2 linked regions of the Drosophila melanogaster genome follow. The gene in region 2 interacts genetically with the main gene of each other region. Each region holds a gene or a part of one and is shown on either strand. Other genes may lie near its edges.

What was found.
Region 1: of lt (region 2) and Vps8, changing one enhances a phenotype caused by changing the other (phenotypic enhancement), as found in Drosophila melanogaster (one study listed by BioGRID).

The regions. Positions count from the first base shown.
Region 1 is NT_037436.4:6,490,438-6,497,267, forward strand, and holds Vps8 (vacuolar protein sorting 8), read right to left. Parts: upstream 4,861-6,830; 5' UTR 4,754-4,860; coding exon 4,652-4,753; intron 4,585-4,651; coding exon 3,277-4,584; intron 3,218-3,276; coding exon 2,360-3,217; intron 2,303-2,359; coding exon 881-2,302; 3' UTR 793-880; downstream 1-792. Other genes in the region: bulli, read left to right, coding at 1-201, 262-466, 533-612. UniProt on the Drosophila melanogaster protein: Part of the class C core vacuole/endosome tethering (CORVET) complex involved in endo-lysosomal vesicle trafficking and lysosome biogenesis by facilitating docking and fusion of endosomal vesicles.
Region 2 is NT_033779.5:22,922,987-22,927,845, reverse strand, and holds the start of lt (light), read right to left. Parts: upstream 3,052-4,859; 5' UTR 2,951-3,051; coding exon 2,921-2,950; intron 2,865-2,920; coding exon 2,739-2,864; exon of another isoform or gene 2,687-2,738; coding exon 2,516-2,686; intron 2,466-2,515; coding exon 2,348-2,465; intron 2,281-2,347; coding exon 1,927-2,280; intron 409-1,926; coding exon 81-408; intron 1-80.

The sequences.
Region 1 (6,830 bases), on a different chromosome or scaffold from region 2:
GCCGCCCAGGAGGAGCTGAGCAAGATGATCATCAGCGAGCTGATCTCCAATCGCAGCTTCGACACCTTGCGACGCTTGGTCAGCTATTCAATGCTGCTGGAATCCAAGTCGGTGGCTTGCTTTTTGTTGTCGCATTCAAATGTGGATACGGCGATATCCCAGGTGGCCATCGATATGCTGGGCAGGATTGAAGCACATGAGGTGGATATAACTATAATTAGATATTTTTACTAAGATGTATGAACTAACAATATTTTTTAGATCATCATTGAAGTAATGCTGGGTCAAGGCAAAGTTATTGATGCCTTAAGGCTGGCTAAGAATTCAATGGGTCTGGAAAAAGTGCCAGCTCGCAAGTTTCTGGAGGCGGCTCATAAGACAAAGGATGATCTAATATTCCACAGCGTATACCGCTTTTTCCAAATGAGAAACCTGAAACTTTATGAAACCCTATCTTTTCCCAAGGGTAAGCTAATTTGTAATCTTGAATTGCGGCATCACTTTTTAAACCTTTGAATTTCTTATTTAACAGCTGAACAATGCACGGAATTCATACAGCATTATAATAACACTTTTCCTGCTGATAATCCTACCAGACAGCCTGTAAGCTAAAGGAAAAATGGCAATTTGTGATTAATATAATTTAAAGTGTGCTTTAGAAAGTATAAACATACTGAAGTATAAACATACTTTTGTATTGAATTGTAAATATATCCAATTGAAATGATGATCATTTTATACGAAAGTAAAGGAATGACTCAAACAAGAACCATAAAAATACGGATTTTTCATGCAATTTTTTTACTTACACATACAATACACATAGTTGTACAATAAATACATAGAGGAATAAATGGAATATACAAAAAGGACGATGAAACTATATAAATCGCCTGGGCGGTGCCTTCAGTTGCAAGGCACCCATTTCCAAGGACGAGGAAATGCTGATTAGATTTTTATTTGGCCGCGGCAAACCAATACTTTGATCTGGAATGGCCGTAAAGCACCGTGGACATTCTTCAAACTGAGTCTCCGACTCCTCCATGCACTGCTCGTGTATGCCATGCCCACATCCGCCAAATATTAGCACCTGGCTGTGATCGTACAGCCTTTGGCGACACATGGAGCACTTTGTGGTGGTCACCCAAAGTCCACGATGCGCATGCTGATAGCGCTTGACGAACTTCAGGTGAAGATCTTGACACAGGGCTCCAGCAGATGCTCGCAAAGCCTCCGTTTTGTGCCTCGAACTGTCCAGCATACCCATTAGAAGATCCTTTATATCACCGAAACTAGTTGACACATTGTGGGTATTCATAATCAATTGAACCAAATTATGCAGATCGATATGCTGTGAGGCCTCGTGCAGCAGAGATTTGGTAATGGACTGAAGCTCCTGATGCGGCAGAATATATTGCAAGAGAGCGAACCAACAGCGTTCCAGTTCCTGGGCTGGTAACGTTTCCACAGACCGAGCCAAAAGAGCCGATATAGTCTGTGCCTCCTTGGCTGCTTCCTCGCCAGCAGCGGACTTAAGCAGTTCCATGGACAACTCAAAGGCTTTCGCATAGCTCTCTTGCTTTTCATACAGATAAATCACAGATCGGTTAAGGTGATGGCTTTCAGCTATGGCAATGGCATTCTCCAAGCGATAACCCGAATTGGATCGAAGGAATTCTTCGACGGTAGACGACGACTCCATTTTGCAATATAATTCCAGTAGTAACTCCATTTGACTGGCTTCCAGTTCGCTTTTACGATCATTGAGGCACTTGAGGAACAGATATAACAAGTTCTCCTCCCTTCTCAGGTTATCTAAAAGCTCATTAATCTTTTCTGGATAGTGCAGAGACAGCAAGCGAGTGGTTTCCTTGGCATTGATCGTTAGTAGCTCCCTTAGATTCCTTTTCAACTGCCGGAAAATGCTTCTCTTTGGTGAAGCAACATGGCGTTCCATATATGCAAACATGGTTTCGTGCCTGGCTTCGTTTCGGATGTAGGAATCCAGGATGGTATCGTATCGCTCAAGCTTCTCCAATAGGTACTCCACTACGCAATAGCACTTCGCCTTCTCTGCTAAGCGCAGCTGCTCCTCATCGCTGCTGATCTCGGCCAGGCAGTTGGAGGATAGTAGCTCGTGCCATGCATTCTCTCGCTCGGAGTGTTGGCGACTGCTCTCGTTAGCAATTTCCTCCTGCGCCAAGTGGCTCAAAACTCGTTCCAGAAGCTGTCTATCCCGCGGCAGGCATTGCATTGAAATCTGCTGAGCAATGAAGTTTAGCAAGCAACCAATCTCCGCCCACTGGAAGATAAAGAGTTTTTTGTTGGATGACTAGCAATTATGGTTAACAAACCTTACCGTTGCATTCTCGGGCGACATGATTTCCAGTAGCAGATTGATAATCCTCTTGCGATGCGAGATTCCCAGCTCGTTGCTAAACTCTCGTTCCTGAAACGCCAGCGATATAACGTTTAGGGTTTCCCGAGTATCGAACTTGAGGAGAGCTCTAAGATAGGGATAGGGCAGTTCATCGCCGGCATTCTCCTTGGAATGCTGGGAGGTCAGGCAACGCAGGACATCGTGCTTGACTTGATGCACCAGCTCCACGGGAATTTCTCCGCTGGGATATTCTCTTCCAGCCAGACAACTAGAAACGTAGACCAGCAGGCAGTTGCCCAAATCCGTCTCATCTGGGGTCACCAATGGAAGGAGCTCCGTGAGCGCCGCCGTATAGTCATTCAAAGCTTGGGTGTTGAGGTAGATTTGAGCCCTAAACAGACGATGCTTCTTCACAGCCTTAAGCACCTGGTTGAGATCCAGGCACATCCAATCCAGTTTGAGGATAAGCTGTTCAAGTTTGGCAGGGGAGTGTTCCAGCCAGTAATCCACCAAAGCTTGGGATATCACTGGATTAACACTATGTATCGTTTCCTTTTCTATATGCTCGGAAATGTGCTGTAAGAAAAGTTCAGTGCTGCTGTTGTGTAACTTTTCCCACAGCTGTGTCCACAGAAGATCCAGTTCACCCACGGTGATCAAGCAGTTAACAATGGCGCCGAGACAATACTCTGGTGCCCGGGCGGAATTGGCGATATATTCCTTAAAAAGCATGATGATACGCTCCTTGGCTTGAGCACGTTTCCTCGGGCGATCCACAGAGGCAATGTAGCCATCAAGTGCCAGTTGGCAGGCTTCCTGCCATCGATGGTGTTTTACCTAGAAACGATAAAGTTGAGGCTTTGATTTTCCATTTAAATCCACAGTTTTGATCTTACCAGGAAGCTTATTCTCTCTGACCAAGTTCTAACTCCAATTATATGCAGGGACCTGGCGCCTAAAACGTACAACTGGGTTCCTCTTGAAACCACTGAGTTATAACAGGCATTTGAGCCGGCTAAAGCGAAGGCAGGTGACACATTTCCGCCAGTGGCTAGTCCTTTAAACTGCGCTGATCCGTAGACCAGTCCTGCGTTGGCCATATCCATACATTCTAGTTCCTTACTGGATCGCACATCCACAAGATGAAGTATTTCCGCCGTGTCCAATGAGGCAACACACTTTGGTCCCAGCCAGTGAGCGGAGAGGAGACTCCCCTGCAGCTGGACATGTCGAAGGTATAAAAGCGTTATTCGTCCGTTCGAGACAAACAGTTGGTGAAAGAATAATTGATTCCCGCGGCCCACGACAATCACGGGGTCCACGGAGCGGGAAGTATCTGCCGCTTGAATGAGTACTAAATGCCAGGCGAGGAGAGGTAAGCAATCAGGAGGTCCCTGAAGCACGTGGTATTTGATGACCCTTAATCTTGGTCGGACAGTGACGATAAAATACTTGGATAACGTTGCCAGAGCCACAATGCAGTACTGATCCAATTCATGGCGTCCTTGGGAGTCCATTATTAGAGGTTCCACGGCGCAGACCTCTCCGCGAGCGCCGGAGAAGAGGCATCTCGATTGGCAGCCACGGATGCCCAGCTTCCGGGTGAAACTAAGAGACCACACCGATCCGCCGGCATCGGCACACAAGGCCAGTGATGATCTCGAGGTCCACTTGACATGCAGTACGCCGGTGTTTGGGGTTATGACGTCGAACAGCTCACGGAGAACATCACCCGTATGAGTGTCCAGCATGGCAACCAATCCCCTAGAAAAACCAGCCAAAAGTCGCGTTGAATCCGCATTGAAAGCCAAACTGGCCACCGCACCCTGACCATGCTTGTCCTGATGGGCCCACCTAAGGGTTTGGGTTACATCGAAGTTCAAAATGTGTCCATGCGATGTTCCGATGGCTATGAATGCGGCCACGGCACAGGAACTGGCTGCTCCGGCATTGACACGTTCCGCCGCTGAGGAAAGTTGTGCCGAGATGCCGTGTAGGAGGGTGTACCTCATTATGGATCCTCCACCACCTCTGCCGTCTGTTCTGATCGTGGAATCCTCACCAATCGAGGGCGTGGGCGTGGCATGGGGCACCGGCATTCCAAACTCGGAGGCCACATCCGAATCCGCCTCAAATTCACTGAGCACCGCCTCCAAAGTAGGCAGCACATCGGTGGGCGGTATTGCAAACTCGGCATCATCAAGCTATAATTGGATGAATCAAGATAAAGTGTTATCTAGGCCATTCCATTTTCGGGTAATCCCAACTCACATCTTCGAAGTCCAGCTGCAGGGATTCGGCCAGTAGGCTGTCTGTGGATCCTCGCTCCGATTCCAGCAGAGATTGCAGCGACGGGGCCTTAAGCTCCGACATGCTCCCGGTTCTTTCAATCCTGATCCCTCCCCCAAACTAATAATTTTAAGTGATTTTGTTTTTATCAATGAGTTTCTACGCCCATCAAAGGACTGCCCACTCGTTTGCATAACAGATGTCTTTCGGTTGCTTATCGGTTTCTGTTATCGATGATTTTATATAAAAACTTAATTTAATTGGACAAATAACAGAGGTAAAGATAAATTTTAAATTCTGAGGAAGGCGTATATTTGTTTTTGTTCCTTTAAGAAGCAGGAATTTTAAATTATTCATTTAGAAATAAGCTTATAACTGGAAACAGTCTACAACTTAATGGGAGTATAAAATTTAATGTTAAGTTCAACAAAGTTAAAAATTTAATATCGAAAATTTAAAAACTTATCGAGTGAGAGGACCAATCGACTACTCGACTTAGCAAACATCGAAATATCGCAGGTTGGACCTCACATCGCCATCTGTTCCATCGCTAGTTCATCTTTGTTTTCATCGCGTTCGGTTCAGTGCAGCGGACGATTTTGCTGCTCGCGAGGCCAGCAGATATTAATTAAAATGCAATAAAGTGTGTTCCGAGCCATTTGAATAATCGCGTAACCAAAAACAATGCGCGGCGCACTAGATTATTAATCGGATTCGCTTATCTGCCAGTTGCAGCAGCCCGTGATTGCGGGCCAAGAGCAAAACGCGAGTGGAAATTTCGATTATTGTATTGTTTGTTGCCATGCATAAGACACTTGTGCAAAATGGGCATTAGCAGACACTAACGAATAGTACTAAACAATGGCGCAGTGATTGGGACACGAAATATAAATAAAATATTTGTTTATTTGAGCGTGCGGCGCTTTGCCAAATTAATCGCTCTCTTTCTGGCATTTCCACTCTCTTCTTTACGCGCCTTTCATTCAGTCGCGCGTATGTGTGCGGGTGTGCGTGCGTGTGTGTATGAGCCAGTGACGTAAACAAATGCACAAAAGCGAATGAGTGCAAGAATTTGAAAAATGCGATTGTCGATTCACGTGCCAAAAAAAAGTAACAACAAACGGGAGCAGCAGGCAGAGAACAACTCAGGCAGCAACAAATTGACATAACGTTATTGTTTTCGGTCCTCTGTTTTGTGCACCGCATTCGCTGTATTTTCACCAGCTCAGCTGTGCAATTTCGCCTTGGTGTTGGTGAGCGCAACACGTTTGTGTTCGAGTGGGAGAGATACATAGCAAGAGAGCTAACGTAAACTCCTCTGCCAGCGTCGCTGCTGAAGTCGGCGTCGGCAGCGTGCGTCATTGATGTGCGACAGGTAAGAAGACGCCGCGCTCCAAATATACCCAATTTCCCAAATTACCATAGTTAATTACTTACATAGACGAATATGAAACCAAAACTTATCAATTAGGCGGCAGGGCGGCACCTTTCGCAGGTAATTTTCCCAAACGCACACATTCCTACATACGTAAATAAAGCTCTCATGCAGCTTCGTTTACGTTTTTCGAGATAAGGCAAACGAGTTAATGACACTCGCGGAGCAAAGCATTCTTGCACACGCTGCGTCTCCTCTTTCTCGCTCCCTCCTCTTCCCATTCCGACTTCCCTCGCACCCCCTCTTGACGCGTTCATCACGCTCTTGGCCCCAACTTGTCGATCGGAAATCGCTGGACATTGTTTGTTGGTCTGGTCGCCGCCAGTCGCGCTAGTCGCCAATCGCCCGTCGCGCTAGTTTTTCCACATTTGTCATACACTAACCATAACGAAGGAGTTACCTGGATTTCTGGCTCAAAGGGTACCGAATATTTATAATGGGTTCCTTGGAAAGGTTAATATATTTCTCGGGTCTTTCAGTAAAAGGGATCTCAACCCGAAAATCATTATATTTGTTCTTAAAATAAAGCAGTTTTTTATTTTCCGTAAACTGATATACTGAAAGAGAATTGAAAAACGGCTTAATATATTCATTTATTCATTCATTTAACCTAGTAATATTTTTAAAAGCATTCATATTTATGGCTCACAGCAGATTTCTGTTTATGATTGTCATTTAAGATACTTTATCTCGGATCCAATAACACTTGCAATGCAGATTTGTTTT
Region 2 (4,859 bases):
ACAGTAATTCTCCGATGAAAAAGTAGTAGTGTAGATTATTAGTGTATTAATGTCATGAAAATATAGGACTATTGGCTTACCTGTGTTTAATCAACCATTCTATACGATCATCTGTTTCAATAAGACTAGCTACCACAATATCCTTTGGGGCCACAATATAAAAGCGATTCTCCTCGATTATGCCACCCAGACTATAGTCATTCACGGTGTACTCCTCAAAGCCGCGTAAAGTTAAACTGTCTGTGCAGATTTCCTCGCTATTATTCATTTTGTATTCAATAACGCATAATACAGGTCGTAGGGCTTTAAAACAAGAGCTTTTTTCCTTGCGAAAGCCAAGAACAACCAATTGCTTTGCAGATAATGGTGCAAGCCCACATACGTAGAAAGTTGTTTGAAATGTCGAGACTGCAATGGTAAAGTGAAATTATAAATGTGAGGATTTTCAATTTCACTGCGTGAGCCCAAAATATTTCATTATAACCGTTACTCGTAGAATGAAAGAATATACTAGATTCGTTGAAAAGTATTTAACACATAGAGAGAAGTTTGTCCAACCATCTGAAGGATATATATACATTTTTTTTGATCAGTCGATCTGGCCTGTCCGTCCGTATGAACGTCGAGATCTCAGGAACTACATACGCCAGAAAGTTGAGATTAAGCATACAGGTTCTAAAGGCATAGACGCAGGTCAAGTTTGTTGTGTGTTCAAATGTTGCCACAACCCCTTTTGATATTTTGTATCTTGCAAATTTAAAAAAAAAAATTTTGTCACGCCTACTCTAACGCCCATAAACCGAACCTGAACTGTTTCAATTATTCTTTGTTTTATTATTTCTCTTGCCATCGGTATACCAAAAACACTTTGGCCACGCCCCTCCTTACACCTGCAAAACGGTCAACAGAACACTTAGTAACGGCAAATACATTAGAATAACAAGATGCGTAACGGCCACTCATTGATTTTGTCCTATGCCGGCAATTTTTTGGGGACTTTAGAAAAAATAACTGAGAGCCTAATAAATCTAAATATAAATATAATATTTGCTTGCTTTTGTGAGTAAAAACAATAAACGAAAACGTGTATATGTGTGCCTACTTGGGCTAGAAGACGATTTTCAAACTGAAATCAATTTTGATATAAGAATCGAATTTACATATTTGAAGTTTTGGTCAATTTCGTTGCAAAATTTCAACAGGTTACTGTGAGCAATACCTTTTACAGCATTAACATTAAGTTAATCAATATTTCAACTTATAAATAAAATTAAGTTCCGATCCGGAATTGTTATTATTACTTTTGTAATTTAAAACAATAATTTTCAAAAAAAGGAAATACATATTTAAAAATATATTTTATAAAAATAATACAAACATACATAGTTAAAAGTTAATATTTATAAAATAAATACAAATATGCTACCTGTTTAATGCAAAGTTGAATTCTTGAGGCACGACGTGCGGTTATAAGCACCTAATAACCAATGTCTACTCTAATTTTTAACACGTCGCAAGCTGAATACTTGAATGATAAATATTCTAATATAGTCATACTTGAAATTTATTTTGTTATTTATTATTTCTAAGTGTTATTCAAATAATAATATCATTGCCTTAAGCAATGCAAAACATGAATATTTTATATGGTACCAATTAATCATATATAATATAGATTTAAAGTCTAAGAACTTGTAAAGTGAAGGGCACATTTTGTCAAATTTACAATGAATAAGCATACGTGTGCATACAAGCTGTCTCTGTATACGTAGAAAAGAGCTGATGGCAGTAGAGCTCTCCACTCTCACGCTCTTGAACAAAAACTAGTAATAATAAAACTCAATAATAATAGCGTTACGCATCTTGTTATTCTAATGTCTTTGGTTACGGTAAATCACTGTTGATTTTTTAATAAACTTTACATACTTGGATCCACAATGTAGACAGGCAGATTGCCAGTTGAAGCTTCGATTGAATTTCTCTTTCGAATTACGCAAACTCGAATAGTGTCTACCCAGCCAATTAATAATGTATGCTTGTTGGACCAACGAAGGTGGCATCGAAAATTTTCTAATCGCTCCTGAGGAGGAACCTCCCACTTTATTAATCCAAGTGAGCATCTTTCGTTTAAATCGTAGACTCGAACTCCTATGTGACTTGCCCAGGCAATAAAGTTGCCATGCCAGCAGATTGACAAAACACTGCCTTCGACTGAGCACAGTTCAACTGGTTTAAGCTTCTTTAGCAAGTTTCGCTCGTACAAGATAAGTTTGTCGTCGCCTGCAAAAGAATAATAAAAAGAATAATTGCTCTCGATAAATTAACAGAAAATATTCATATTACTCACCCACTACAAATCTTTTAATGTGAGCTTTGGAATCGGGCTCCAGTGATACGACCTTTATAAATTTGCCAAAGCTGAGACTGTGATTGTTATCAGAGCTAAACAATCCCGTTATGTTAACCTAGGCAAAGAGAATTAAGTTTTATATTGCTATCAAGCTCAGATACTCACTTTTCCGTCGTCGGAGCATGTGGCCACATACTCGCCCTTATGATCTACATCTATATTGTTTACTGCCACTTGGTGAGTGTGACGTTCGCTAGCGCTAAGATTTGAGTAGACTGAGTTTCCTTGATGGTCAAATATACAAACACGTCCTCGGAAAGTTCCAAATATAAGAAACTAAATATGTACGTTTTTTAAAATACTTATATAATATGTGGTTGGCTCACACCTTTAAGTGTACAGCGCTACAAGTGATGACATCAGCGTTGAGCATGTATTTTAAATCATTTGCGAGACGGTGATACTTAAATTTGGGCTCCACATCTTCCTCATTTATGCTATCGGCCCAAGAGTCCTGGAATGAACAAAAGTTTAATAACATGCGTTTAGCAAAGCATCCACAAATCATACACAACTGATGAGCGGCAACGCTTTAGCCATTTAAAGCAAACGGAAATTTCTGATTTTCAAACAACGAAAATACACAAGCTGATGTATTATTTTATTATTTACATTTACTAATAGCGCCATAGACAATAATAATTACTATAAAACGGTCTTATTATTCGATGTTATAGCTGTGTCCCACTAATATATATACAGTTTGTCAAGAAACTGTTTACAAGCTGAGAAATAAGTTGAATTTTTGACTTTAAAGGTAAAAAATTAAGGGTTCTGTGCTTAAATAAACGAAATTTTTTTATTCAATATAATAACAAACCTCCCAAAACTGCCACGCCCAAACCTATTGAAAATTTTATGACATTTTTTCATATATTTTTAGTATTGTAAATTTCTATCGATTTGTCGAAAATCTTGTGTCACTTCCACACTTTTGAACAATTTCTAATTTTGTTTTAAGTTTTCGTATTTTTTCCAACTTTCTACCGATATTAAAAAAAATATTGAAAAATTTAAATAAAGGTATGTTATATATTAATGTTTATAATAAAGTAAGTAATTTGGTCTACTTTCAGCTTTCATCAAAAGTTTTAGATAGGCAGCAATGCCGTTATCGACAATTTGCTTACACTTAAATACTTAAATAAATTCTTTATAGTGTATTTTGTGGGTACACATTTTTTATAAGCATACTTGTCAACAGATATCGAGCTGAAGGCTTGCAAAGACATCAATTGATTCAGAAATTCTAAGTCCTCTTCATGTTTAGCTAATAAGCACGGACGAAGATTTATTAACGGTTCCTCACTAATATGGTTCCAGAGGCTAGGAGCAAAACATCCTTACCAAGATCCTGTGCAAGAAGAGCAGCACACGTTCCAGGCAATGCAGGTGGTTCTTCGGCATAATGCGAGTAAGAGGCAAGCTTCAGTCTGTGATCTTTTATGTTTTGAAGGCGAGACTGAGTTTTCCTGATGAAGCAGGGTGTGGTGCTTAGATCCGCACACACGGCAATTGCTGGAGTTGCACTGCCTTACTTGATGCCCAGTCTTAAACAAAGAGCATGTCTATTTGCTTCTTCCAATCGACATGATGGGTTCAGGTTCTTAAAGCTTTGGCAGTAATAAATTGTTGAGAACGATAAAACTCTGGGTCCGCGAGCCTAAGGTTTTGGGGTATGTTCCAGTTGCTAATGTCAATATTCAAGGACGGCTGACTTTTAATTATATCGGATGCAATACCAGCAGTGATGTTGGTCGAGTATTATAGACGTTTAAGATCGTATTGGAATGTTTACTGACAAACCATCTGTCTGAAAAATCGCCTATTACGGTAAAACAAGCTGCCGATTTTGACTTCCTGAGTTGAAGCTTATTTGCGAATTGAGTTGTTTTAATGTGCAGTTGAGCAGAGCACGTCAAGGAGCTAAGAGGCTAAGGAGCTGCAGAGGATTCAGTGCAGAGGATGCGAGTGAGAAGTAAGCGTTTCTCAGGTGATCTTTTATGACGGGAAGGCGAGGCCAAGTTTTCTAGGTGAAGCAGGCTGTGGTGCATAGATGCGCGCGGCAAATGCCGGAGTTGCACTCCCTCAGTTGATGCCCAGACTTGAGGCAATTCAAATAAAGAGCCAGTTCCTTCGCTTCTTAAACCCGACTTTCTGGGTTCAGGTTCGTAAACCTCTGGCAGTAATAAATTGAACTGGGCACCAGAAGCACTGCAGAAGACACATTTCGCAGGGCTGAGGCTTGAGTCAAGAAGGGTAAACTTACGCAAACCAGATATTCTGTTACATTCCAAATGATTGTCTAGTGCTTAACTTGCCATGGCGAACACCATGTTCTCCAGCGTCCTGCATCGCTGCACCACAAACGATGTCATGGATTCCCACGTCGTAATTGCATTTTTGAACAATGGGTCTTCCAAATGCTCCACCCATTTCGCATGAATCT